7 linked regions of the Coturnix japonica genome follow. The protein of the gene in region 1 interacts with the protein of each later gene in a pairwise test. Links are inferred from orthologs where the notes say so. Each region holds a gene or a part of one and is shown in the gene's direction. Other genes may lie near its edges. The genes, in order: KIFC3, SMARCE1, CREB5, ATF2, STX11, KANSL1 and TRIM54.

Region 1 (3,538 bases):
GAGGGAAGGAAGGGAACTTCTGACCGGGGCACGCAGCTGCTCCGTGCCGTTCCCTCGCAGAATCACCTCGCCAGCACTTTTCTTTACTGGTGGCATTAAAAATAGATAGATATTTCTTTTCCCTGCAAGCCGGCGAATGCGGAATTACACAACAGCCCGGACTTTTGTGACCTTTGCCGTATTCCTCTCCTCCCTCCTTCTGGGTTTTCCTTTGGTGTAGCGGCTGGAAAAGCCCCGGCCCTTTGCATTCAACCTTGAGACACCAGGGCTTTGCCGAAGCCCACCCGGCGCAACGACACCGACGTGTAACGGGCAGACCCGAAGGCAGCCGGCTGAATTCCTTTTGACAATAGAGGGTGGGGATGTGGGACCGTCCTTGCAGCGCCTGTGCGATGTGGGTGTCCCGGGGATGGAGGAGCACGCACACCCAGCGGCACGTTTCACCCTGCAGGTCTCGCTGGAGGACGGCCGGCAGCCGGCCCTGCCGTACAACACGGAGGAACCACCGGCAGCCCCATGTGAGCCCGCCGTGCCGGGGCAGGCAGCCTGCACCATGAGCCTGGAGAAAGCCGGTGAGGGGAGCACGGACGCAGCCGGGGCTGAGGGATGGGGCCATGCAGGCAGTGTCTTCTAGCCCAGCTGGGAGGAGGCAGCGCTCACCGGGTGGGGGGGGCTGCTGCCTTCAGGTTTGGGTTTGCTGTCCCTTGGCTGGAGCATCTCTTTGCTACGAGGAGGAAGCGGGTGCTTGAGCAAAGCTGTGCACGCAGCCCGGGGCAGGAGAACAAAAACCCTCCTGCAGTCCCTTCTGGAGGAGCACGGATTCCTGGCTGTCCCTCTTCGCTGCCTCTTGGCTCGAAGAAAGCACAAGTCCCCACAGCTGTCAGTGCCTTGGGATGGCTGACACCTTACAGCACGTGTGTGAAACACAACTGACACACGGCGTCAGCCCGCCTGCAAGCAGCCAGCAGCTCCCAGCATCGCCTTCTGCCTCCCAACCTTTGCTTTCCAGGCAAGGCAGGGAGCAGCCCAGATCCATGCTGCTGGTTCCACCGGCACTGCATGGCGGTGAGTCAGTCCAGCTCGTCCCCTGCTGGAACCACCGAGCAATTTAAGGCTTCGTTTGCAGAAAGCTGTGTTTAAACTCGTGCTGCGAAGGTCAGAAAGTCGCACTCAACAAGCAGGGCCACCATTTGGGTCGCCCGTGTCATTTGAATTTGGCTTCCATTCCACTGCCGTGTTCGGTGACGCAGCCTTTAATAACACCATCCCATGCTGTTTTTCCACTGGCACCTGCTCATTCAGGGGAAAAAAAGGCTGAGGGGGTGAATCAGAGGCAGCAGTGGGGCTGGGTGGCTGCACGTCCACACGGGGCAGCTCAGGCTGTGCTGTGGGATGCCAGCATCCCTCTGTTACGCATTGGTACCACTGGGACCCCCAGCTCTGCTGTGCTCCTGTTGCTGCCTCCGTCGGGTCCCTTTCCCTGCAGGGTGCCCGTGTCCCCCTGGGGCTGGCTGACCCTGACCCCGCTGTGCTCGCTCCTGCCGCAGGGGGTCGGTTCTGCAGTGGGAAACGTGCCAGTCTGCCGGCCCAGCGGCCCTTCCCCGTCATCCAGAAGGTGGTGGCATCCATGGCGCACCTGCAGGAGGAGAAGCTGCGGCTGCAGGAGGAGCTGCTGGCTCTGCAGGAGAAACTGGCCGCCCGAGAGAGCGAGGAGATGGCCATCTCCGTCCAGCTGCGAGGGCAGGTAGGGGGGCTTTGGGTGCACTCCGGGCTTCCAGCTGTGGGTTGTGATCTGTAGCATGAAGGCTCAGGGTGCTCCAGCTGTCTTGAATGAGGAGCAGTGCGTGTCTGTGTTGGTGCTTGATGTGCTGCTGTGGACGGGGACTGGCCTCAGTGCTGACCCCCTAATGCTCCTCCTGCCGGTGCAGACACAGCTGTGGATGTGAGGACGTCCCTCATTACAGGGAGATTGAAACCCAGGCTGCTAATAAAGGGATTTGCATGTGGATGTTGTGGAAGCTATTACAGTCAGGTTTGGCTTGTTCCGCTGGTGTCAAAAAGGTGGATGTAATTGTCCTGGATCTGGTTGGCATAGTCTGCATGACACAAGCAGGACAGGCAGCTGGCGTGCCGGGGCTGTGCAGCACGGGGTGAACCTGGGCTCCGTGAGCTCAGCAATGGCCGGGCCGTGCCTCAGCCCCCAGCACACAGCCAAGGGGTCCCTGAGCAGCCTGGAGAGCAGGCGGCTGCCGGAGCTGCCTGAGGAGGTAGGGCACGGGGCTGCTGTAGCACTGGGGAGCAGAGGGAGCAACTCTTCTCCGTGCTTGGTGCATGGCTGGGGCCTTCCAGCTGTGTGTGGGGCGGTGTGCTTTCCTGTGAGGTTTATCCTTGAGGTTCTGGAAGGTGCAGGGAGTGGTTGGGGCTGTGTGTGGGGAGTGCAGCCCTGCGGTGCACCGTTCGTTAAGCAGGAGAGTGGCAGCTTAGCCATGGCTCCACGTCCCCCTCCTCCTGCATGGGCTGTGCTGAGAAAGGGGTGGGGGGCAGCGGAGGAAGGGTTGAATTGAGCTGCTCAGCCTCTGCCCCGGCACACGCAGGAGATGCGCTCGGGCAGCTCGCCGCGCCGCCGACTCCACAAGGGAGTGGCTTTATAACTTATCATAATTAATTACAGCACAATGTTGAGCGCGTTCGCATTTGTTATAAATCAGCAGCTCCTAAATGACGATCTGCGGAGGTTCAGAAGAGGCTGTTGTCGTTTGCATGGGGCGGCAGCCTCACTGGGACGGGGGTTGGTGCGGTGCCTCCTCGCCTGGCGGGGTGTTAGGAAGGGAATCCCTTCCCGGGTAGCAGAGCGGTGGGGGCTGGGGGGGGGCACAGCACAGCTTTGTGCTTCCCCATGTGTGCAGGTTGAAAACTTGAAGGCGAACCTCCGTGAGCAGGCGCAGGAGATCGGCAGGCTGCGCTCGGAGATGGTGAGCTCACCGGCTGCGGGGGGGGGGATAAAGTGGGACTGGGGGGGGCTCCCATCACACGCTGACGTTCCGCAGGGGGGAACGGATGCGGAGAAGCACCGGGACCTGCTGGTGGCTGAGAATGAGAGGCTGCGGCAGGAGATGAAGGCACGGGAAGGGGAGTTAAGGGAGCTGCGGCGGCAGCAGGCGGCGTGTCGGGACTGCACGCACCTCCAGGTGAGCTGCGGGTGAGCCGTGGGGCTGCGGGTGCCACGGCCAAGGCTGAGCCTGCTTTGGGGCCAGGAGAACGCCGGGCTGCAGGAGCGGCTGTGCCAGCTGCAGAGGGAGGCGGAGGAAGCCCGAGCCAAGCTGGCCGAGCTGGAGCTGGAGGTGCAGCAGAAGACGAACCGTCTGGCCGAGGTGGAGCTGAGGCTGAAGGATTCGCTGGCCGAGAGAGCGCAGGAGGAGGAGCGGCTCAGCCGGCGGCTGCGGGACAGCCAGGAGACCATCGCCAGCCTCAGGGCTCAGCCCCAGCAGATAAAGGTGAGCACCGCGGGGCTGTGCCTCCTGCTGGCTGTGCCGCGGTG
Region 2 (3,991 bases), on another chromosome or scaffold:
TGGCATCCTGAATGTAACGGCCTCTCCTGGCATTTTCACTATGCAGCTTTTTTCGTGTGCTATACTCTGTATGTTTTACAATACTTGAATTTAAACTAAGTTTTAATCGCTTTGAGGCACTTTAAACAGGGATACAAACTTACCAAAGTAAATAGCGGTACAACAATAAAAACAATAAAACCTGAGCTTTGTGTGTCCGTCCTGAGGGGGACTGGGTGGCAGAGAGCACAAACAAAAGCTGGTTTATGATCATTAAACATGTTCAGGGCTCCTGACCTGAACAACCCGCTATAAACAAACCTTGTACAGCAGTAAGAGCACATAGAGTAACATGGAAACGGAGCACAGGCAAACAGAAATGAGAAATAAATAGAAAAACCAACCAACTAAAGCAAAGGAAACAATAAATAACGATCCAGAATGATCAGTATGGAACTGCACTGAACACTGCAGCGACTTGTGCATGTTTAATGCTATCGACACCAAGCACAACTGAATGCAACGTACAACACAATGTAATGAATGTGGTCAAACCCAAGCCAAACCAGGGTTACTTTTCACCTCTAAGTATTTTCTTACCTCCTCCTTAAGGACGTTGTGCCCAGGTGCCGCTGTCGGACCCCAAGGTGCAGGTCTGGCTGCTGGCGGATCTTCCCATCATTATATTCCCTGTGTTATTGAATGGAAATCTCCATCTGTCCATGTCCGTGTCGTTACTTCAGAGCAGAGCAGGCCGCGCTGTGGTATCACAGCCAGCTTCCTCTCCCTTCTATCCCCTCTGGTGTCACACAAGCCCTGTCTATGTGCATTACAGACGATTCCTGCAGTTCTATGTGCATTACAGACACTATTCCTGCAGTTCTATGTATATTATAGACACTATTCCTGCAGTTCTCTGTGTATTACAGACTATTCCTGCAGTTCATGGTCACTCACAGCCGCTTTCTCCCTTTCCCGCCATGTTCTCCTTTCCCGCCACTCGACGCTCCATCTCGCGCCTCACGCGGCCCCAGAGCGCGGCAACGCCGCGCGCCGCCTCCGCCCCAGCCCCGTGAGGCAGCGCTCCCCGCAGATTCGCCACAACGCCTTCCGCTCTTCCTTCTCACCCCTCGCGGCGCGGGGCGGCCCTCGGTCTGACAGCGGCTCCGAGGTGAGCGGGGCGGACGGACGGATCAACCCCGCGCTACTCGGACACCCGCGGGAGGGAGCGGGGCGGAGGCCGTGGCGAAAGTGCGGAGCGGGGCGCGCAGGCGCGGTGTTCGCAGCCGGCTCGGCCCGGGCAGGAACAAAGGAGCGGCGCTGCGGAGCGGTGCGTGTGTGCGGGGCGGGACGGGCGGGGGGGCTCGGTGCCGGGATCGGTTCTGGGCTCGGTTCTGGGCTCGGTTCCGGTCTCGGGTTGGCGGCTCATCGCGGTGCCGAGGGGCTCAGGTGGGCGCTGCCCGCGGGGCGGCTCCGCTCGCGGCCTCTTCCCGGCGGCGCGGCCTCCGCGGTTACACGGGCCGGGCCGGTGTGTGAGGGTCCGTGTGGAGCCACGAGCTGGAACCGAACGGAACCGAGCGGCACCGAACGGAACCGAACGGAACCGAACGGCGGAGGAACGTGAAGTTCCTGCGGGAGAAGCGCCGTGAAATGGCCGCTGGGCTGAGCGGGGTGGCATTAATGGGACGGTTGTTCTTTTGTCTTTCAGAAACACGAATGTAACGTCAGGTGGCTGAAAATTTGCCTGTCAAAATGTCAAGTAAGTTTTCGGGCTTTTCTTCCTTTGGTGAATTTCGGATCCGGTTCCGCGGGCTCTGGGGCGCTGCCTGTGGGCCTTGTGCACAGAGCAGCCGTTCCTGGTTCCCGTGGTGTCTGTTGCTGTGCCGTCAGCTCTCACTGCAGCTCGGGCTGCACGGAGCAGTTCCTGGTGCCCACCTGGAGCTCTCAGGAGCTGCTGCAGCCCAGTCCAAGCGTTTGGTCTCACAGCAAATCTGTCCCAGCTTCTGCTGAGTCCTGCTTCCCTGTTTTGTTTTGTTTCCTTACCCTCTTCTTAACCGATGTGCCTGTAAACGTATCTCAGGTTCCTTCATCTGCCTAAATAAAAGACCAGAAATGTAGCAATGATGTGGGGTTTTGGTTTGATTTTTTTTTTAGTCTCTCCTTTGCTGTGTGCTCCAAAGTCTTTGAGCTGGGTCTGTCTTTTAGTAAATCCCATTAAAGCATTTGCCACAATGGATGCCTCTTAAAGAACTCATTCACATTTTCAAGGATTTTCTTTGCTTACGTTTATATTTTAACAGAAAGGCCATCTTATGCTCCACCTCCTACCCCAGCTCCTGCAACCGTAAGTACAGTGCTTTTTCTCATTAACACAGATCCTGTAGCAGAGCTGTTAGTGACTTACCAGAGCCGTAACAGTGGAGACGCAGCACCTTCCTGTGTTGGAAAAGCACGCTTGTTGTATTTCATTGTTAGTATGATATTCCTTGTTTAAAGTCATCCCAATTTCAGAACAGTTTGCAAAAAAGAAGCTGAACAAACTGGTTTCATCTTAAACATCTGCAGGATGTGGCCCTTTTTTAATCAGCAGTCACTGGGATTATTTACCTGTGTGGCCATTGAACTCATGCAGCCAATGCTGCCCATTGGGATGCTGGAATATTGAAGGCCAAGTCGATACGGTTCATTCTCAGACTCCCTGCTCAACTTTTACACAAATGATGAGCAAAAACAGGGCACGTTTTTGTGCTTCTGACACATTTTCAATGGGATGCAGATTTCTGTTATATTTGGTCAGAAAATGGAGACCCTCCGTGCTGGTAATCGTACTCAGATTTCATGAAAATGCTGATATTTTGGGGTCTGCTGCATGGCAAATCTCTTAACTTACAGTAAAGTGGTATGGAATGCCAGTTAAGAAAACGTGGCAGTGATGTCCAGTTGTATTCCTGCATGTATAAAAGTATCTTGAAATACTCGTGCTGTGGTTGGAAAAGCAGCTGAAAGCAAAGGCAGCTCTTGTTTTGGAAGCAATGCACTCATGGGAGAAAATATTAATGAGTGGAACAAATGAACGAGTAAGGATGCTCTTTAGCATGTGTCATTTCACACAGCTCAATAGATTTGTGCTCTTAGGAGGAATGTGATGGCAGCGGATCTCTCCTGTGGCACAGTGTGGGTGAATACTGAGGTGGTGCATCCTTTAGCCAAGCTATGACTTTGTCAGCAGTGCACACAAAACCAGGTTCATGTTGATGCTTTTATAGCCGTGATGTAGAATGGGTACAGTGAGCACATTGCTTTCAAAGACTGCTGAAATGGGTTTTAACAAAGTGGGACTCCAGTGTGAGACAGTGCAGGTAACGCATGAACCTGGCGTGGTGCTGCAGTGAGTGCTGGTGCAGCGCTCCATCACCCTTACCTGGCTGGTCTGCTTTATTTCCAACACCATCTGAATTCTGGACAAAGAAAAGAGAGTAGCTGAAGTGCAGGAGTGAGACTGACAACCAAGGGGAGACAGTGAACCTTGTGGTGTTTGATTACATCCCTGCTTACCCACATCTGTGTGCATGGAAATTAGATTTTCTCCATGTTCCAGGAGGTGAGAACAAATTGATCCGCCTGCAAGATCGGACAAAGATGTGTTTGGTTGTTCCTAAGATTAGTTTGTGGTTTCTAACCTGCACATTGCATTGCAGCGGTTCTTCAGCTCCGTCAGCCAGCGGCCTCCTAACAGAGCGGCAGCTCCGTGCATCGTCCTCTCTTGGTTTTTCTAATCCTTACAGTTCTCCAGAGTGTTTTGATTCTGCAGACCACCAGTGAAGTCCTCTGCTCCTGCTACTGTTGCACGGATGGTGCTTTGAGACACTCACGTTGTTTTTTTACCCTGTTTGCTGGCAACATCGTGTTCGTTAGGAGGCAGAAGGATGGCAAGAGGAGGAGGCAGAGATTTTTGCTGTTGTAGTAAATGTTGACTTGGGGAATTTTTGCCCCCATACTGCGCGCTGCTTTG
Region 3 (4,132 bases), on another chromosome or scaffold:
CCTTTGGGACCAGAGAGTCATCTCAGGAACACAGCATCTCTCTACTTTGCAGTCAGCACAATTCAGCAAAACCACCTGTCATGAACACAGAGCAGAGTCAAGTCAGGAACTCTGACCCAGTGTACACTCAAAGCGTTACTTACTCTTGTAATCTGTGTACATGTCACTGAGAGGCTGCAATATGATTCATAAGAAAGCAATCTCAGTAGATTGGTAATATAAAACTGTGGCTTATACTTAGAATTATAGAATTGTAGAAGCATTTGTGTTGGAAGCGACCCTTAAAGGCCACTTAGTCCAACTCCTCTGCAGTAAACAGGGACACCTACAGCTAAATGTTCAGTGCTTGGTCCAGCCTGGCACTGAATGTCTCCAAGGATGAGGCTTCCACCATGCCTCTGGGCAATTTGTTCCAGTACCTCACCACTGTCACTGTGAAACACCTTTTCCTTATATCCAATCTAAATCTCCCTACTTTCAGTTTGAAATAATTTCCCCCTTTTCCTGTCACAGCACTCTCTGCTAAAGTGTCTGTCCTTTCTTACAGCCCCCCCTTTAGATACTGAAAGACTGCGCTCAGGTCTCCCGAGAGCCTTCTCTTCTCTAGGCTGAACAGTTCCAGCTCTCTCAGCCTGTCCTTGTAGGGGAGGTGTTCCATCCCTTGGCACATTTTTGTGGCCCTTCTCTGGATGTGCTCCAACAGCTCTGCGTCTCTCCTGCACTGAGGAGGAGTGCAGTCTCCTCCTCATCTGGACACAGTACTCCAGGTGAGGTCTCACCAGCACTAGAGCAGAGGGGCAGGATCACCTCCCTCACCTTACTGGCCGCGCTGCTTTCGATGCAGCTCAGGATACGGTTGGCTTTCTGAACTGCGAGGGCTCATTGCTGGCTCGTATCCACCAGCACTCCCAGGTTCTTTTCAGCAGGGCTGCTCTCCATCCTTACATCCCATAGCACTATCACCCCGGGCACGGCACCTGAGTCCCGCTCTCTGTGTCCCCCATTCTCCGGAGCACGGAGCACCTCGGGGCCGCCCCATCCCGGCCGCGGGGTGGCGGACCCCTCCGCTGTCCCGGTGCGGGGCGGGGCCTCCGGGAGCTGTGACTCACCCCGTCCCGCCCCGTGCTGCTCTGTGCTGCTCTGTGCTGTGCTGTGCCGTGCTGTGCCGACGGAGGTGGGACCATCCGAGGCCGCACCCCCGCCCCCGCCCCACGCTCCCGGCAAACCCCCCCCCTCCCTCCCTCCCTCCCGGCACGGACTGCAATGATTTAGAAGTTCAGGAATCCCACGTGACGTCACGGAGGGTGATGTAATGCTTCTCTAAATAGAACGTATTGTAACCTTCCCTCAGTCCAACGTGGTTCCTCCGGCCGCGCTGCCGGTCCCGTCCCCGCCGCGCCGCGCTGCGCCGGGCGGTAAGTTGCTAAAAACGCAGGGCTGCCCCGGGAAAGAGCTCGGAGCGGAGCGGCACGGAGCGAACGCTGCGGAGCTGGACAAGGGGCAGCCCCGAGCTTGGGGACGCGTCTCCCCGCCGCCGGGTGCCGCACGGGTCGGTGTCCGCCGCCGCCTCCGCTGATCCGCTGGGACGGTGCGGGGAGAGGAGCGTGAGCGGGTCCGGACGGGGCAGAGCTCGGGGAGGGCACGGCACGGAGCGGGATGCTGCGGGATGGGATGCCGTGCGATGGGATGGGGAAGGGGCGCGGGCAACGCCGCGCTCCCCGGTTGTGACAGCTTCCCCGTCGCTTCGCAAAGTTGCGGGAGAGTCGGGCTGCCGGGACTCGCAGCCCCTCCGGTGGGCTCAGAGCCCGCTGCACCGCTGCTGCCGGAGGGTCGGTGCCGCGCTGCTGCTCCGCTTGGGATGCGCTGTCCCCCCGCTGCAGCCTCCCGCAGCTGCCCTCTCTTCCCAGCGAAGTCTGCAGGACGCTCAGAGCTTCGGGAGTGTAAGGGGAATACTTGCTAAACTCTGCCTGCTCTATTATTTATGTCCCGGTACGGTGAGTGATCCTTCATCTCCGGGGCTCTCTCTCTTTGAGAGACGTCGTGCAGAGGCGGGGGTAAGGATAAAGGAACGTCCCTATGTTAAAGTCCAGAGAGATGTTTGGAGCGCGCTAAGCAGCTCGATGAGATTTCGCTATTTTATCGGTGCTTAACTAGGGGAAGTTCGAGAGGGAAGAGCGGGCTGCTGAGTGCGGACCGGCATCTCCGGGCTTCACTGCGAGGCTCCCAGAGCCCCCCAGCCCGGCGCCGTTCCCCGGCCCTTCCCCGTCCGAACAGAGCTCAGTGCGTCAGGGAACAGCGGCGGAGAAAAAGTTTATTGTAAGAAAGTGTCACGCAGAAATAAGCCAGAAACCGCGCAGAAAGAGAATTGGGAGTCGGAGGGTGAAGGCTGGATGCAAGCGCACCGCCTAAATCACGGGGACGGGGCGGGGGGGGAGATGAGGGGGGGTTGTTGGTGAAAGATGGTCGGCTTTCAGCAGAAGAGTGTCGTTGAAAGTCGTCGCTTTGGTATTTTGTAACTTTCATGCGGTGAATGCGGTTGCCGTTTTCAAAAGCTGGAAGTTCTTTAAGAGAAATGGCTGAGATCCTTATTTGTGACTCCTTAATCCCGAGGGGAGCTGCGCGGGTCGCAAAGCACAGGGGAGAAGTGCGATTAATGATCGGTGATTAGCGATAAGTGATTAGTGGTTTTATTCAAACTGTTACCTCTGACCAGAAGCACGCATCAGAGGATTAACGGGCTCTTTAGATAAATGCTCATTAGTGGAAGGGGGAAAGCAGAGATAATAGGCATGCACACAGGGACAACTTTCTAGGAAAATCAGTCCCGTCTCTGGCATAATAAGCTCTATTAGCAGAGGGGCGCTTTAATTTAAAAGTTGCTTTTATCTTGTAAATGAAAGATGGATGCAGAAGTTCGCCGCGCTATTATAGCCTAAATTTTCCCATATCCACTGGATGTGGATTATCTCAGTAGTGATACCTTATTAAAGGAAAAAAAAAAAAAAAAAAAAAAAAGAAAAGAAAGAAAAAGAAAACACACCGTGCTAACCAATGGCATCTTTGAAAGCCGCAGCCCCGCATCCCGCGGCATCCATCCATCCACCCATCCATCCGTCCATCCATCCACCCATCCATCCGTCCATCCATCCACCCGTCCATCCATCCATCCATCCATCCCTCCCGCGGGCGGAGCGAACTAGAGGGCGCAGCGCTGCTCTGGGTTCTGATCCCAGCAAGTAGCAGCTTGCGAGGTGTCCTTCAGCACTCACCACAAAGTTGGTTCCGTGCTGGGTTGGAGGCTAGACAGCGCTACAAGTTTGTAGTCACTTTTTCCACGTCGGTTAATCTGGGGAGTTAAAGGCTATTGGAAAAATTAGGCTCATTTACTCTCAGCCACGGGGAGCGAGGGAGAGGGGCAAACCCTGCAGCCTGGGACCTGACTCCTCACCGTGCTGTTTTCCCCTGCTTTAACGAAGCCCCGTTCTGATGGCCTTCCTTGCTGAAGCTTGAGAGCTCTTGGTAGTTTCCCCCCAGCTATCACTGTGAAGGGGGGTGGTTTTGTTTTTGTTTTATTTTTAAAGTCACTAAATAGAAAGAGCAGCTGGCGGTGGCTGAACAAAACGGCTTGGACCTGACTGTGCTCTGCAGATAATGGTAAGGAGCGTCTTTCTATGATAACTAACCAAGGATTTCTCCTTCATCTGTACTGTGCGTGGCTCATGTAGAACCAGTGCCTGCTGCTGCCCACAGGTTTCGGGACATTTCTGCTTGTCCCATTTGCTTAAATGGGATTTGTGTTTGCTTGCATCTGCTGAGATCATAAAAGTTTCAAAACTTTAAATGAAACACTTGACTGAAGCAGGAAATAGAAATAATGAGTTTATGGCTTAAAAAAAAAAAAGAAAGAAAGAAAGAAACTGCTTCAGTCTCCAGTTGCTACAGTTTTGATTGGAGACTCGCAGACCGATGCTTGAAATCAGAGCGTTTCATGAGAGCACATATAAAAGGCAATAAGCTCCCTTTGCCACTCTCGGATATTGGGTGGCACTCTTCCAGAAGTTCAAATTGTGGTATTTTTAAAGCTTTCTGCATTTTGGATGCTCAGAACCCTCTCCCTCTCGTGAAAGTAGTC
Region 4 (3,538 bases), on another chromosome or scaffold:
TCCTGAATAATTATCTGAATACATTCAGATAGTTTTTACTGTTCTTCAGGTAACCTGTATTATTTTTAGAGAAAGCTATGTATTCATGTAATTACAAATCAATATCTTGATATATTGGTGCTGTCTCCTTTGACTCTGAAAATTATTTACAATGCATCTGTTCTCACATGGTATTTTAAAAGTAAAATCATGTGCTTTGTGTAAACTTGATTTCAGATCAGACACCAACACCAACTCGATTCTTGAAGAACTGTGAAGAAGTGGGCTTATTCAATGAATTAGCAAGTCCTTTTGAAAATGAGTTTAAAAAGGCTTCTGAAGATGACATTAAGAAAGTAAGTGCATACGTGCTTTTGGTCCTGCCGTTCAATTGAGAAGTAAACTTGAATCTATATGTTGTCTTTTAAACTATACCCGTAGTCATTGACCAGCCACCAATGTATAGTCTTCTATGGAGAGAATACAAAGTTAAGATTACTTTTCAGAAGGTTTGTTTACCTGAGTTGGTGTGAGTAGAATGGACACTGGAACACACCCACTATTTACACAGTCTGTTTTGAGCATTTAATGCTCTTTTATGAGGGACTGTCCACAGGTTTAAATGTGCTTTCTCCTATTTCTTCTATAACTTTCTAGTCCTAACTAGTTTAGGGGCCCAAAAGTGTAAACACTTCTCCAAATGAAAATTTTTGTGTCCCCTTTGAATGATTTTTACCATTGGCTGATTATATGCTTTAACTTCCACAGACAGTGATGTTTAAAATTAAATGGACTGTTTTATACATATGTATAAGTTTTTACAGAGTCAGTGTCTGGTTATTCTCTGTGAAGATTTTAGTAGATACTTGTGATTAGGACTCATTCCTGTGCATTCTTGATGAAAACTCACCTTTGCTTTGTGCTCACAGCTGTGCCTAATCTTAGCTGGTGAATGGTAACTTTTCCTAAAATCATTTGCATGATAATACAAATTCTGCTTTTGATTCTGACTTGGTTGTCTGTGAAATTCACCACTTTCTTGGAGGAAGTTACAGTTATCACAGAGTACTGAAAACATTCCAACTACTTTTAAAATTGATGTTCCTTTTCCAAGCTGACAAGAAGAAACGCAATTGTGCCAGATGTCTTTGATAACATTGGATTGCATAGCCTTCAAGTGTAGTGCTGTCCTTCCTCAATTATAACTTTCCTGTGAATCTTGGGAAGGAACTTCATAAAAATTTTTACCTGCAGTGGGAATTCAAACAAAGTCTTAGTGAAAAGCTGTATTTATACAGATGTTGGAAAAAGGAGGCTTGACTGCTAACACATGTGCATCAAGACCTTCCGGATGTCAGCACTTCACTGTTATTATTATAATAAGGCTAATATTTCTCCTTAGTTACTTATATTTTCTTGAGATATTTTAATTTTTGTGTGTGTGTTGGTTTTTTTTTTGTCTACACTGTTACATCTAGATGCCTCTAGATCTGTCTCCTCTTGCAACACCAATTATAAGAAACAAAATTGAAGAACCTTCTGTTGTAGAGACAACTCATCAAGATAGTCCTTTACCTCATCCAGAATCTACTACCAATGATGAAAAGGTCAGGATTCCTTTTTCATTTTGGAATTCACTATCTGAATCTTCTGATGATCTTTGGGTTTCTTGTACACGTTGATACCCATGTTATGTAACTGTTTGAAAGTAAATGACTTCATTAACCACAACTCCTGGATACATACTTAATTTGTTCAATTCTTTAGTTAGCTTTGCTCAGCACAATTTTCTATTTGCCTCACCTTAATTATTCAGTAAAGCTACGAAGGAAGTCAAACTTAGTATTGCTGCTATGTTAAAAAAATTGTTAAAATTGGGCTCTTTATTCTTATTTTATGCATCATCAGGCAGTAATCACAAAAAAGCAAATGAAGTGTAGCTTGAGACTATCCATGTGTACATTTTTGTGTTTATCCTGTGTTTTCTCACCAATTTTTTTGTGCAGCAGCATGGGATGTTCTATAAAAATGTACAGGGGTTGGATGGACGGTCTTTCAAAATTAAGCAGGAAAACTTTGTTTAAAAATCCATGCTCTTTCAGCTACAACAGTATGTTTAAAAGCAGTGATCTGGAGCAATTGCTCATTTAATGTTTACCTGAGGGCTGGGTTTGTGAGTTACTGTCTGTCTCAAGAGAATGTTGTAACTTAATCTGTTTCAGAACTACTGCTCTGCTGGCAGTAGTAGGAAGAAATAGTTTAATAATAAGGTTGATACATAACTTGCAGTGTTTTCATCGTAAGAAATTCTCTTGGAGAGCACAGAATTGAGCAAAGTTAATGAAATGAATTAATTAATGAAGTAGGAATGAAAATAAAAATAATAGGAGCAGAGCTTAGTAAGCAACATGGCTGCTCTGGTCAGTTTTTCTATGTGCATCGTTAGTGGGTAGTCTGCATTTGAGGGACATGGATATCATATTTGCAAAAATGAGTAGACTTCTTTGGGATTACGAGGTAATTCATACTGAAAGGGACCGTAAGACATTTCTATTCCAGCTTCCTGCTCAAAGCAGGGATTAGATCTGAGACTAAGACCAAGAAACTCAGGGCTTTATGCAGTCCAACCTTGAAACTTCCAAGAAGGGAGAATGAACGGTTTCTTTGCTTAATGTGTTCCAATACCAGACTGTCCATGTGAAGGCCATGTTTTTCTTTGTATCCAGTTTACCATTTCCTCTTGCACCACTTCTCTTATCCTCCCAGCAGACGCTGTATGTGACAGAAAGTGTGAGGAGTTTCAGTAGAGAATTGTCTTCAGAAAGCTGTTCTGATTTTTGTAAATTAGCAAAGACGAGTAATAGTATGTTATTGAAGTGATCGTGTAGTCCAAAATAGTAAAACTGGTTTAAAAGAATACACGTAAAGAGCTTCTTTGATCAAGCATATCATAGTCTAAATCTTAAATCTTCTTTATTTCGTAGTTTGGAAAGGTTTGTTTTTGTCTGCAAATAATTATTCTAAGTGCTCAAGTTTTGGCAGGAGAAAATATTAATATCTTATTTTACAGTAGTGGTTCAGTATCATTAGCATCATTACAAGTGCAAATTGTATCTAAATGCCTGGCAGTGCTTATAAACTTATTCATTACGTAATTCAGTGTTGTCACTGTAGCAGTGCTGAAGTGAAAAGCTGCTGCAGCTTAATGTTGTTTTGATGTCTGATTGTAGAGACAAGCTGAGCAAGGATGAGGGTGCTGCTTGGAGTGTGCTGCTGCTGAATGTGGCCTGCAGAAGTTGAGAAATGTGAGCAGAGTGTTGCTGTTTTCTCAGTTAGATTTTTTTATACTCCTTCTGTAGGTGTGTTGAAGGAGGGAAGGTTTGTTTCTACTCTTCAGGGCAGAGCTGGTTTTAAAATTCTATATGCCACCGTAACCATCTCCTTGGCTGAATATGTTTTAGTAGTCTTAAATGGTCACAGCCTGTTAATGTACGTGTAAGAGGGTTCTCATTTTCTTTGTAGTTGTCAGAGCTATTTCTTAGACACTCTTGAAAATTGT
Region 5 (4,093 bases), on another chromosome or scaffold:
AGCCTTGACTTCTGAATTCTTGTGAGCAGCCCATTCCTCATGCAAGTGAGCAGGATCTTGTTGCATCACTGACGTTTAGTGAAGAAGCTGTTCTGTGAAGGCCCCTGCTTTTGCCAGAGGCTGCAAGGTCTCTGAAAGGCATTGCTCGAGGTGGGAGTGTTGCAGCTGGAGACTCCCCAGTGAAGGCATATAATGAGAGGATTTCCTAGCATCAGCCTCAGCCTTCCTGCACTAATCTTGGAAACTCTTAACTCATGGGTATCACTACAGCAGTAAGATCTGCCTTTAGCAATGTGAACAGAGTATTTCCTTTCACACAACTTTCACAGAATGTCTCTCATCTAATGAGAGATGGTATAAAGTGGGAAAAAAAAACACCCTACTTTGTTACTTTTGTAGCTTTGCAAATAATGCTTCTCAGGACTTGAATAAGTTGACAGGGCTGAAAACACTCAGTCTCACTTATGGGTAAATCACTTTGTCTAATCACTTTCATTATTTCAAAACTGACAGAAATGAGCATAACAAGTGCTCATAATAATAACATTCCTAAGAAATGAGCATTAAAAGTTTCCCATCTCATGACACAGACAATCTTTACATATGGCATACCTGGTTCATTTGCCATTGCTGTTCTGTCATGGCCTTAAATTGCACCATGGGAGGTTCAGGTTGGATGTAAGGAACAATTTCTTCTTAGAAAGAGTAGTGAGGCAGCTGCCCAGGAAGGTGGTGGAGTCACTGTTCATGGAGGTGTTGAAGTACCGTGTGGATGTGGCACTGACGGATATGATCAGTGGTATGGATGGGCTGACAGCTGAGCTGATGATCTTAAGGGTCTTTTCCAGCCTTAATGATTCTGTGATTCTAAACATTCTTTACCCACACAGTTACAGTAACATGAAGCTTCATTTTCAGCTCCGCCTGTATGAATTAACACCACCCCAGAGGCCAAAGACTCCGCACAGAAAGAAGCAAGGAGTGCACTATGGGGTGTTTTGCCTTTTCCCTCAGGCAGACACAGCTACTCTGTCAGACACAATTTAAACTGGTTATTAACCATAAAACCTCAAGTATTTACCTGCTGCTGAGGTGTTTTTGCTGAAATAACAGCAGCATAGGAAACAAGAGAGATGGGAAGCCCTGCATGCCTTTGCAACAGACAAAATACATGGTAGGAGTGCGCAGATGCAGTGTGAAAGAGGTTTGGGGGCATCAAGGGAACTGAGAACGGCTTTGGAAAGCATAGATGATCTTCCAGCCATTATTTGCTATCATCATCAAGTCAACACCCAAGAATGGGCTCAGTGCAGCCCTCTAAGCGCAGCCCATCTCCTTTCACACGCTGAATGGAAGCGGGACTTTGAGCTGTGTAGTAGCCAGTCCAGCCCGGTATTTCCACGCCCACATCCGAAGACAACAAGAAGCGGCTGCCGGTGCCCACGGTGCTGACTGCCAAGCAGAGCCGCCCCGCGTTCGCCCACACTTCCCGTACAAATCCGCCCCCCGATGGGCGGGGCGGGCGCTGCCATGCAAATCAATGGGCGGTGAGTCGAGACACGGGGCGGGGTGTTCCAATAGGACCGGTACTGGCCTCGACGGCGCGGACTGAACGACAGTGAGTGCGGCTCGAAGGGAAGCACGTTTGGGCTGGAGGTGAGTGCTGCGCGGGGTGGGACGGTGCTTTCCGCGCTGGGTTCTCGGTGTTGCCGTCGGTGTCTCGCTCAGCATCGGGCCCGTGGGGTGTGAGGAGCGCTCTGCAGTTTGGCTTTGCCTGGGAGTAAAGGAAACGGCCCCGTGCGAGTCGAGAGTGAAGTGTGAGCTCGGCAGCAGAGAGCGGGTTGGAGACCGGAGGTGTTTGGTTCCATCTGTGGTTGTGGTTGCCTGTAAGGGGTAGAGGACATCGCTGAAACGAGAGCGTTCTCTAAACGTACCTCCTGGTCTTGTCTCAGCGCTGCAGCCTGCTTCGCCCGTGCTCCTGCCTCGTGGTGCTGCCGTGCGGGCTGAAGGTGCTTGGCTTCATAGCGAGAGGTAACAGCTTGTGCTATTCCCCTTTTCCTTGGGCATCCCTGTGGCCAGGTCTGTGAGCAAGGCAGGAGCTAGTGCTCTTTGATGGCTTCCTATTAAACTGACATTAGTCTCTTGTCCTGCTGAGGAGCGTTAGTGATGTGTGTGTCTGAGATAGCAGTACTGGGGAAGGAAATGACTGGGAGAGTATCGCTGGCCTGCAGCACTCAGTGGTGCTTCTTGTTGCTTCTTGTTTCTCTGCTTCAGGTGGTGTTTTTGGAACCTTTTGTTTTGTTTTAAGCTGTTAGGGATCCAAATGGAAATGCGTGGCTTGTTAAGACGAGAATGCAATTTGGAGGACGCTGCCTTCCTGTTCTTGTTGTTTAAGCTTTTTTCTATGGGAGTGGTGAGACTACTAGAGGAGCACAACTTTAGTCAGAAGGAAAGGCAAAAGTTTTAACAGCCCGAAGGAAAACAGGGTGAAGCCTGTTGGTGACCTCTGAGGAAGAGGGCTCCATGGTGTTCCTGTGGAGAACTGATCCTATTTTATCCCATCACAGCTTGTTCAGTGTAACTCGCATATAAGTCAGATAGATGACACTGGAAATAAATAACCATTTCTTTTTATGAACTCCTTCTGTGCATTAGAGTGTGGTGTCTTTATACCCCATCCTTTGAGGTACTGAAGGCCCCACTGCCTGGTAGGTGGCAGCCCTACCTATGGCTGGGGATTGGAACTTGAATGGGCTTTAGTGTTCCTTCCAACCCAAACCATTCTGTGATTTCTCCCTGATCTTGTGTGAAGAACAAGCTTATGTCCCTCTCCTCTTTCTTCAGTCTCCTGCTTTCTAAACCCTTTGGAGACTGGTGAGTATCCTCTGGCTTTCCTAGCTTGGTAATGGGTGCTGGATGCAATATTCCAACCAAGGCCTTACTGATACCAAGCAGGGTACAACTGGTGCTTCCCATGCTACTGCTTATATAAGTAATGTGTGAGTTTTTGTTTTCTTTTTAACTTTAAATTAATTTAACCTGATAAATTTACCTCAGCCCCAGGTGCCGGCTCTTCACATTGATGCAGCCTTGCAGAGAAGCCATTCTGGGGGCACAGCTCCAGGCCTGCCCCTGACCATGCCCATGCTCTGTGGCCATGCTACACTGCTGGCAGGGAGGCTTCTGGGGAGCCAGCAGTGTGTGGTTCAGCTTCTGCTTTTTTGCTCTGCTGTTTTGATAGCTTCTGCTGATTGTGTCACCATCCTGCTATCTCATCTAGCCTTCTGCACACAGCGCTCAGTGCATCTCATTTAGGCCTTGTTTCTGTACTTAATCATGGTCTCACGGGACCTGACTTTGTGAGGCTGATCATGTGTGCAGCTTCTTCTCTATCTGCTGGGCAGTAGACAGGGAAGTCTTAACTGATATGGTGTAAGATTATTATTGATTAACTTGTATCAACAAAAGCTAGGGAGAGATTTCCTGAGTACTGGTGGCACTGTACCCCCAATTACATCTGTACCAGTGTCCCTGGTACTTTGAAGAGGCCTGAGAACACCCATAGGTGCTGTGTGGTGACTGCTGTACTGCTGGTCAGCATGTCCTGGGGCTGGGACTTTGCCTGCATGTGTGTGTGATGGTTGTTTCCTGGCTGAACATCTTTGGTTCTGTTAGAGGTGTGTAGGTTTTGCAGGAGAACCCAGAGCTCAGCCTCCTGTACTGGTCCACGTGAACAAACACCAATAAGACCCCTCATGTTAAAACACAAAGGAATTTTTTTTTCCTATAAGAATGCTTGATATCAGATTGTATAACCATGAGCTCTAAATGTATGTATACTCAAAAAAGAAAAAAAAAAAGCAGTTGTGCTGATTTACAAATGCTTGTAGAACACTGTGCTTCTGACTTATAATCACATGCAACCTCATATTTCCACGCAGATGTTAGGATAATGTCTTAATTGTGCCTAAATACCATCTGGTAGTAGCAATGGTAGTTACGTGCAGCCTGTACCCAGTTGTTCTGCTGGGCAGACCTGTGTCAGGCTTGTTGAGGTGATTCACCAGAGCAGGATCCACCTGCAGCACTCACT
Region 6 (3,538 bases), on another chromosome or scaffold:
TGTATTTCCAGGAAGAGGCAGGAGATGAGCAAAGAGCGGAGGCTGTTTTCCCCTCAGGGCCCTCTCTGAGCCCTCCCTCCCCTTTGGGATCAGTCTGTGCAGGCTGTCAGTGGTTGAACAACTGCTCTCACACTTTGCTGCCCACATGGATGGGGCTCAGTGAGAGCTTTAGCACCAGGGTCTTCTAAACACGGCTGCTCTGGCTTCTTGCTCAGCATCAAGTTCCCCTGACAGTGACTGCAGCCTGCAGCCCTGTTTGCCCGTCCTGGGGCTTTCCAGCCTCTGGAATGACTGGGGATGGATTCCCATCTCAGCTGCCAAGGCTGCCAGCAGGGCTGCCATCCCTTCCTGCTGCCCTCTGAGGTCATCTGCAGTTCCCAGATGCTGCAGCAGCTCCGAGTTGCAGTGCTGGCCCCTCTGCAGGGCTGCTGGGCACCTCAGCTCCTCGTGTGGGCTCTGGGAAGGTTCCTCTAAGCTCAGGGTCGCTTTGGAGTCCCTGCAAAAACATGGTGTGAGATCTGGGGGAGGAACGGTGCTGCTGGGGGAGTTTGTTGGTCCAGCTGATGGTTTTTAGAGCCGACCCCATAGCGTGGCCTGTCTGCACAAGGAAGGCACCGAATAACCCCATTAGTGTTCCAGCCTTCAGCTGAGGTCAGGAGAGCACGTCTGTGTGGGACTGGGATGCAATGGAGCTTGAGGAGTGTGGACAAGAGGAGCGTGTGCCCCACTGCAGTGCACGGCGTGGTCTGAAAAGGCAGCACAGGCCGGGCTGAGTGCTCTGGGTGCAGCTGTGAGCACCCTGGGGGGCTGCTGCTTCCATGGGCCCTGCAGTGTGCTCATTTGGAGCACCCTTGGTTCCATGGCAGATGCCCTGCCATGCAGATGAACTTCACACCGTACCTGTTTGGCTTCTGGCCTGACCCGAAGTGGAGGAGTTAAGCTGAACTTCTCTCTTCCAGTCTGTATTCCTGTAGGTTTGATGAGCTGAGATATCCCAGAGCCCTGGAAGTCAGATCACAGATAGCAGAATGGAGCCACGTGCCTTTTATTCTCCTGCCAGGATATACCTGGGTGTGAATCCTGTATTACTGTGCTGCTCTCAAAGAGCTTCAGGTTGGGAATGCTGGATCCTCACGTAGCAGCTCCTCCTTGAATACACAGGCAAATGTGGCTGTGCAGTGATGACCCTCTGTGTGTTGGGGCAGTTCTTGCTGGGGACTGGGAGGTGATGCTGGACCCGCTGCTTCCTGGTACACACTTAATGTGAACTCTGCATTTGCTTTCCCTCCGCAGACGTGCCGACCAGCCTGCACTTCCAGAGCATGTTGAAATCCCAGTGGCAGAACAAACCCTACGAGAAAATGAAAGCTCCCAAAAAGCTCTCGTTCAAGCACAGAGCCCCCATGCCCACCAGCAGCCTGACCGACCCCGCTCGCAAGGACCGCCACAAGCTGGTGAACTCCTTCTTCACCGCAGCCAGTAAGTGCCCCCCTGCTGTTGGTAACCCCAAAGCAGTGCGGTCCGGGAGGAGAGAGGAGGATGGATAGCATTCAAACGGAGCCTTTGGGGCTGAAGGGGCCGTGTGTGCAGCTGCTCCTGGCTGTAGGGACCCTCCTTGCCCAACACCAGGCCGTGCCCATGCAGAGCTCTGCCCGCTGCATGACGCCATTGAGCCGCAGCATCGCAGCAGTGATGCATCCCATGCCCGCAGAAAGAGAGGTGAAAACAGGAGTTTCATGGCTCTTTCTCTGTTCCCCTCCTCAGAGCGCTCACAGCACAAAGCCCAGGCAGACAAGGCGCACAGGCCGCCCTTAGACGATTTTATGGCCGTGTCCAAGGCCGAGAGAGCGCCTGAGCGCTCGCTTGTCCAGCCTCCCGCCCATGACAAAAAGCGATTACGCGACTGCTCATCTGAGAGGAGTGAAGGTAGGCTGCCAGGCCAGGGCGCTCGGGGGGAGCTTGGGCTTTGCTGCTCATCAGCCTGTCTCCCCTTGGAGCAGAGGGATCGCACTGCTTCTGGGCCTCCTCACCGCACCGTGCGCCCCGACTGCTGCTCCCTGCAGCCCCTGACGAGCTGTTTGCAGTCACAAATCGCTTCTCTTTCCTGCAGGGCTCACCTCAGCATTGGCCATTTCTGGCACAGATGGTCCTTTTCTCCTTCCTACCCCCCCAGCCTTATTTTATTTGGTGCTAACGTGGCTCTTTGTTTTCTCCTCCCTCCCCATGCAGTGCTGAAGCATCACGCGGACGTCGGTGGCCCGAGCTACTTGGCAGCGGCTGCGACCCATGCACCTCACAGCCCCATAGCACGGCAGCTGTCCACCTCCTCGGAGGGCTCTGCTCCCACCAGCACGAGCTCCCAGGGCACCTCCGGCACCGTAAGTATTGCTGTCTGTGTGGGGAGCTGCTGAGCTCGGCTCTCAGCTTCCCAGCATCTTTACCTCGCTGGTGATGGGATTGTGTTGGCTCTCCTCCTGCTTTGGCTTTGGGTCTGCTGTGCTCCTGGCTGTGCACGGAGCCGGCTGCAGTGACAGGTTCACTGTCAGTTCAGTAAGTGCTGGTGAATGTTCCCGTTCCCAGTAGCCCACTGGCTTTGCTCCATGTCCGGATTCTGGTTACTGAAGATGTCAGGGGATGCCAGGAAACGGAGTGGAAGAGCTGAGCACCAGCAGCACAAAGCTGCTGACACAACAACAGCTCCTGCTCTGGGTTCTTCCCCTTTCTGGCCTTTTCTCTGTGTGTTGGGCTGTAAATTGGGCTGAGGATGGGACTTAGCTGTCGTTATAACTGGGGTTGGCTCATAGTGTGTGCCCAGACATGCTCAGCCTCCCAGAACAGATGACAGCATTTGGAACCTTTGTGGAGCTGTTTCTGGAAGCCATCAGCAAGCAGGACCCAGCTCCCTCCCGCTCTGTTCAGCTCTGAGGTGTCCTAGGAAAGCTCCTGGTCTCTGTGTGGTGCAGCCCCTGCTGGGGATCCAGGCTTTGGGGGCTCAGAGCTCACTGTGTGCCTCTGTCCTTGCTCTGAGCTCTGGGGCTGCCACCTCCAGCCGGGTTCTTTCCCAGAACAGTTTGCTGTTGCGTCATCAGCTGTTGTCAGTGAGGTGGGTTGTAATGCTCAGGGGAGGCTGAGACTCCAACCAGCAGCAGCAGCTTCCCTGGAATGAGCCGAGTGTTTTGGAGACCAGGACGCTCCTCAGCAGCCATAGCATGTCAAGATGAAATCTGTTCGTGCTTCCCTGCACTTGATCTTCCTTCCTGCTCCTTTTGCCACCCTTCCCTGAGCCCATTCACAATTAACAGGGTTACAACATGGTGCTGGTTTCCAGCACCCGGCTTCAACCAGCCCCAGAAGCCGCCTGTGCTGCTCCAGCAGCCCTGAGGTGTGGGCGTTGTGCAGGGCAGGACAAGGTTTGGGTCTGGTTTTGGTGGTTGTGCAGCACCTCCCAACGTGCACAACTTTGCTGCAGAATCAGCAGCATTGCACTTGTTCCTTCGGGGAGCTGCTTTGAGCTGGGAGGTGTGTGTGCATGACAGGA
Region 7 (4,288 bases), on another chromosome or scaffold:
TCACAGTGGCCCTGGATTCTCAGGGCAGCTGGACACTGGGGCCTCAGGGCAGCCCCAGGGGTCTCAGTGAGGCCACAGGGGACTCAGGGCAGCCTGGTGTCTCCCAGTGCTTGGGTCTGGGGTCTCAGGAGGACCCCAAGGTCTTAGGGTGGCTCCAGGCATCCTACAGTGGCCCTGGGATTCTCATGGCAGCAGGACACTGAGGTCTCTATGTGGCCCCAAAGGTCTCAAGGCAGCCCTGGGGTCTCACAATGTCTGGGTCTGGGGTCTCAGGTGGCCCTGGGGTCTGATAGTGGCCCAGGGGATCTCCATGGCAGCTGGGCCCTGTGGTCTCAGAGCAGCCCCATGGGTCTCATGGCAATCCCAAGCTCTTAGGGCATATTGGGGGTCTCGGGGAAGCCTCGGGGGTCTCTGGGAAGCCTCAGGCTGTGACATCCCATCCCGCAGGCCCTGGCGCTGTGCTGTGGTTTGCTGACCTGCTGCTGCTGTTTTTGCTGCTGCTTCTTCTGCTGCGGGAAGTGCTGCCCACCCCGCGAGGACGAGTCCTATAAGTACGTCGACCCCAAGGACCTGGAGGCGGACGATGGTGGCGGTGAGTTGGGGTCCAAAATGGTGACCCCCCCCACGATGCTCCCGGCTCACAGAGACCTGCAGGGGGGGCTGCACCGGGCTCGGGGGCTGGTGGGACACGTGGGTTGGGGGCTCTCTCGGTTTCCTTAACAGAGGAACAGAGACATGAGGGCCGTGCTGGTGCCAGGGGCAGCCCCGGATCGCTGCCAGGACCCCAGGACTCCCTCCTGGTTCCACTGACCCACACATTTTCTTTCCAGACCCACAGGTCCCGGTGGAAGCGCAGCCCCCCGCAAGCAACGCCCAGCCCCTGCCTGCTGCCGGAGCCAGGAGCGAGGCATAGGGCCACCTATGTGCCGGAGGGGGGTGGGGGGTAAAGCCTCCTCCGGGACCACCGCCGCTTCCCAAGACCCCATCGTGGGGTGGGGAGGGGGGTGTACAATCTCAGGTGAAACCGTCCTACAGCGCTGTGACTGAGACCGGTAGCACTGTAACCCCGGGGCCGGACCCCCCTGACGGGAGCTGGGTGCCAAACGCTGCTCTGGGGCTGGTATGGGGGGGGAGGAGGAGGGGTCGGAGAGGGGCCTCCCGTCGCGCCCCACTCTGCCTCGCCGTGGGGCCGCACCGCGCTCGTTATGGGGCTGGGACCCTTCAGGCACTTTCCGTGGGTTTGTATATGTTATATGGGCACCATTAAAGGATGATGGGGGGGAGCTCGGCGGTGTCGCTCTCTCGTCTCGGAGCGGCGGCTGTGGAGCCGGGCTGGGGGGGGGCAGCGCCGTGCCGCTCCCGGGGGGCGTCGGGACGGAGTGACCCCGGCGGTGGGACGGCCGCCCGCCGTGACTCAGTGTCACCCGACGCCGCCGACAGCTGCGCGGCCCCGACGGGGCGGGGGCGGCTAAAATTAGCGCTGCGGGGCCGGAGCGGGGCAGTGAGGGGCCGGAGCGGTACCGGAGAGGTACCGGGACCGCGGCGATGAACTTCGCCGTGGGGCTGAAGCCGCTGCTGGCGGAAGCGCGAAGCATGGAGAGCCTGGAGAAGCAGCTACTGTGCCCCATCTGCCTGGAGATGTTCAGCAAGCCTGTGGTCATCCTGCCCTGCCAGCATAACCTCTGCCGCAAGTGTGCCAACGACATCTTCCAGGTGCGGGGCGCAGGGACCGGGCTGTGCCCGGGGTTGGGGGCTCCGTACACGGGAGGAGGGGGGATCTCTGTCTCGGAGCGGTTCGCTAACCCCTCCTTCCCCCCCTGCCCTGCTCTCTCCTTTCCCCCCTGCCCCCCCAGGCCTCCAACCCGCTGTGGCAGTCCCGGGGTTCCGGCGCGGGGCCGTCCGGGGGCCGGTTCCGCTGCCCTACGTGTCGCCATGAGGTCCTGCTGGACCGGCACGGTGTGTACGGGCTGCAGAGGAACCTGCTGGTGGAGAACATCATCGACATCTACAAGCAGGAGTCGGCGCGGTGCGGGGCGGGACACGCGTGGGAGGGAGCCCGTGGGGATGGGGGGGGGGTGATTGGGGCTAAAGGGGCTCAAGGGCACCGTGGGGTGAGGTGGGGCGGGGGATGCCGTGGCTTGTGTGGTATGGAGGGCTGTGCAGGGGACACGAGGGGGAATGAGCCTGGGTGGGGGGGTATTGGGGCTAAACTTGTGGGGCTGGGGGTGCAGTGAGGCGGGGGATGCTACGGGGCAGAGGTGTGCCGTGCCGTGGGGCCGTGCCGTGGGGCCGTGCCGTGTGCCGTGCCGTGGGGCCGTGCCGTGGGGCCGTGCCGTGGGGCCGTGCCGTGGGGCCGTGCCGTGGGGCCGTGCCGTGGGGCCGTGCCGTGGGGCGCAGCGCCCTCTCCCTCCCGTCGCAGCCCCCTGCACGCCAAGGCGGAGCAGCAGCTGATGTGCAAGGATCATGAGGATGAGAGGATCAACATCTACTGCGTCACCTGCGAGGTCCCCACCTGCTCCATGTGCAAGGTCTTCGGTGCTCACAAGGACTGCGAAGTCGCCCCTCTGCAGAGCATCTTCCAGGGCCAGAAGGTGGGTGACCCCCAGAGCCGGGGGGGGGGTCAATGGAGCGGGCGCGGTGGGAGGGGTTTCCCGGTGCGACCCCCGACGCCGCTCCGCCCCCCAGAGCGAGCTGAACAACTGCATTTCCATGCTAGTAGCGGGGAACGACCGCATCCAGACCATCATTTCCCAGCTGGAAGATTCCTGCCGCAGCACTGAGGTGGGGCTGCCCTGTGTGTGCCTTCCCCCCCACACCCCCCCCCCAGGCCCCGCGTGTGGGGTCTGCGTGGTTCGGGACCCCCACCCGGTGTATTGTGCCCACATGGTGGGATGCTCCTGGGAGGGAAATCCCCACTGCAGCCATGGAACGCGGGTGTCCCCAGGGCACAGTGACACAGGGGTGTCCTGTGGGGCCGGGCTGGGAGCGTGGCAGCCCCCTGAGCCCCCGGGGGGGGATCCTACAGGAGAACGGCCGGCGGCAGAAGCAGCACGTGGGGCTGCGCTTCGACTCGCTCTGCAGCATCCTGGAGGAGCGCAAGAAGGAGCTGCTGCAGAGCATCGCCCGCGAGCAGGAGGGGAAGGTGCAGCGCGTGCGCGGCCTCATCCGACAGTACGGGGACCACCTGGAGGCCTCCTCCAAGCTGGTGGAGACGGCCATCCAGGCCATGGAGGAACCTCAGATGGCCGTGTACCTGCAGGTGCCTGGGGGGGGCTGTGTGCGGGGCGCCCTGCGGCTTGGTGCGCTGCTCCTGGGATGCTGACGGCACTCTGCTTTCCCCCACAGCACTCCAAGGAGCTCCTGAAGAAGTGAGTGGGGTAGGGTGAGATGGGATGGGATGGGATGGGATGGGATGGGATGGGATGGGATGGGATGGGATGGGATGGGATGGGGAGGGGGATGAGATGAGGATGGCATGGGGGGGTGGGTGGGCAGGGCTGATGCTGCTTGCTGTACCCCCAGGATCACAGACATGTCCAAGGTGTCGATGAGCAGCCGCCCTGAGCCCGGCTATGAGAGCATGGACCACTTCTCCATCAATGTGGACCATGTGGCTGAGATGCTGCGCACCATCGACTTCCAGCCAGGTGCCAGCATGGGGCGGGCGCTGCCTTGGGGAGGGGACTGCAGCAGGGATGTCCTCACACTGAGATGTGCCTCTGCCCCACAGAAGCGCTGGGTGAGGATGATGGAGATGGACCCACAGACAGCAGTGAAGGTGCAGGGGATGAGGAGAGCCTGGAGGCACCTGAGGCTGCTGAAGGTGAGAGTGTGTTGTGCTGTGCCGTGCTATGCTGTGCCGCAGTCACCACGGTGCTGCCGTGGCTGCGGCGTGGCCATGTACGGTGCATGGTCTCACCATGTGTCCCTCTCTCCACCTGTCCAATGCTTTTTCTCTACAGATGTGGGGCCAAGGCAGAAGCCATTGAGCTCTCCCCATGGTGAGATGCTCTGTGGGGATGAGCAGGGTGTAGGGATGGGATGGGGATGGGATAGAGATGGAGTGGCAGGGGATGGGATGAGGATGGGTGGGGATGGGGTGAGGATGAATGGGGATGAGGATGGGTGGGGAGGGGGGGAGTGAGGATGGGGATATGACAGGGATGGGATGGGGATGGGGTAGCAGGAGATGGGGTGAGGATGAGTGGGGAGGGAGGAAGTGAGGATGGGGATAGGATAGGGATGGGGTGGCAGGGGATGGGGTGAGGATGAGGAGAGGGATGGAGGG

Evidence for each region.
Region 2: the proteins of KIFC3 (region 1) and SMARCE1 interact in binary tests that used the Homo sapiens proteins (3 or more experiments, as listed by UniProt). The two-hybrid records come from large-scale screens. The link is inferred for Coturnix japonica from reciprocal best matches to the Homo sapiens genes KIFC3 and SMARCE1.
Region 3: the proteins of KIFC3 (region 1) and CREB5 interact in binary tests that used the Homo sapiens proteins (3 or more experiments, as listed by UniProt). The two-hybrid records come from large-scale screens. The link is inferred for Coturnix japonica from reciprocal best matches to the Homo sapiens genes KIFC3 and CREB5.
Region 4: the proteins of KIFC3 (region 1) and ATF2 interact in binary tests that used the Homo sapiens proteins (3 or more experiments, as listed by UniProt). The two-hybrid records come from large-scale screens. The link is inferred for Coturnix japonica from reciprocal best matches to the Homo sapiens genes KIFC3 and ATF2.
Region 5: the proteins of KIFC3 (region 1) and STX11 interact in binary tests that used the Homo sapiens proteins (3 or more experiments, as listed by UniProt). The link is inferred for Coturnix japonica from reciprocal best matches to the Homo sapiens genes KIFC3 and STX11.
Region 6: the proteins of KIFC3 (region 1) and KANSL1 interact in binary tests that used the Homo sapiens proteins (3 or more experiments, as listed by UniProt). The two-hybrid records come from large-scale screens. The link is inferred for Coturnix japonica from reciprocal best matches to the Homo sapiens genes KIFC3 and KANSL1.
Region 7: the proteins of KIFC3 (region 1) and TRIM54 interact in binary tests that used the Homo sapiens proteins (3 or more experiments, as listed by UniProt). The two-hybrid records come from large-scale screens. The link is inferred for Coturnix japonica from reciprocal best matches to the Homo sapiens genes KIFC3 and TRIM54.

Annotation. Positions count from the first base shown.
Region 1 is NC_029526.1:1,977,811-1,981,348, reverse strand, and holds part of KIFC3 (kinesin-like protein KIFC3), read left to right. Parts: exon of another isoform or gene 1-356; intron 357-451; coding exon 452-572; intron 573-1,547; coding exon 1,548-1,744; intron 1,745-2,906; coding exon 2,907-2,972; intron 2,973-3,047; coding exon 3,048-3,188; intron 3,189-3,254; coding exon 3,255-3,494; intron 3,495-3,538. UniProt on the Homo sapiens protein: Minus-end microtubule-dependent motor protein. Involved in apically targeted transport. Required for zonula adherens maintenance.
Region 2 is NC_029542.1:4,157,577-4,161,567, reverse strand, and holds the start of SMARCE1 (SWI/SNF-related matrix-associated actin-dependent regulator of chromatin subfamily E member 1), read left to right. Parts: upstream 1-1,191; 5' UTR 1,192-1,309; intron 1,310-1,409; exon of another isoform or gene 1,410-1,428; intron 1,429-1,687; 5' UTR 1,688-1,731; coding exon 1,732-1,738; intron 1,739-2,279; coding exon 2,280-2,323; intron 2,324-3,991. UniProt on the Homo sapiens protein: Involved in transcriptional activation and repression of select genes by chromatin remodeling (alteration of DNA-nucleosome topology).
Region 3 is NC_029517.1:30,422,854-30,426,985, forward strand, and holds the start of CREB5 (cyclic AMP-responsive element-binding protein 5), read left to right. Parts: upstream 1-1,295; 5' UTR 1,296-1,415; intron 1,416-4,132. UniProt on the Homo sapiens protein: Binds to the cAMP response element and activates transcription.
Region 4 is NC_029522.1:14,860,673-14,864,210, forward strand, and holds part of ATF2 (cyclic AMP-dependent transcription factor ATF-2), read left to right. Parts: intron 1-216; coding exon 217-335; intron 336-1,457; coding exon 1,458-1,586; intron 1,587-3,538. UniProt on the Homo sapiens protein: Transcriptional activator which regulates the transcription of various genes, including those involved in anti-apoptosis, cell growth, and DNA damage response.
Region 5 is NC_029518.1:41,265,576-41,269,668, forward strand, and holds the start of STX11 (syntaxin-11), read left to right. Parts: upstream 1-1,292; 5' UTR 1,293-1,656; intron 1,657-4,093. UniProt on the Homo sapiens protein: SNARE that acts to regulate protein transport between late endosomes and the trans-Golgi network.
Region 6 is NC_029542.1:2,360,652-2,364,189, forward strand, and holds part of KANSL1 (KAT8 regulatory NSL complex subunit 1), read left to right. Parts: intron 1-1,293; coding exon 1,294-1,479; intron 1,480-1,764; coding exon 1,765-1,926; intron 1,927-2,229; coding exon 2,230-2,378; intron 2,379-3,538. UniProt on the Homo sapiens protein: Non-catalytic component of the NSL histone acetyltransferase complex, a multiprotein complex that mediates histone H4 acetylation at 'Lys-5'- and 'Lys-8' (H4K5ac and H4K8ac) at transcription start sites and promotes transcription initiation.
Region 7 is NC_029518.1:95,417,674-95,421,961, reverse strand, and holds the start of TRIM54 (tripartite motif-containing protein 54), read left to right. Parts: upstream 1-1,478; 5' UTR 1,479-1,545; coding exon 1,546-1,713; intron 1,714-1,853; coding exon 1,854-2,026; intron 2,027-2,419; coding exon 2,420-2,591; intron 2,592-2,685; coding exon 2,686-2,781; intron 2,782-3,025; coding exon 3,026-3,259; intron 3,260-3,345; coding exon 3,346-3,368; intron 3,369-3,522; coding exon 3,523-3,647; intron 3,648-3,730; coding exon 3,731-3,823; intron 3,824-3,962; coding exon 3,963-4,001; intron 4,002-4,288. Other genes in the region: DNAJC5G (dnaJ homolog subfamily C member 5G), read left to right, coding at 448-592, 831-913. UniProt on the Homo sapiens protein: May bind and stabilize microtubules during myotubes formation.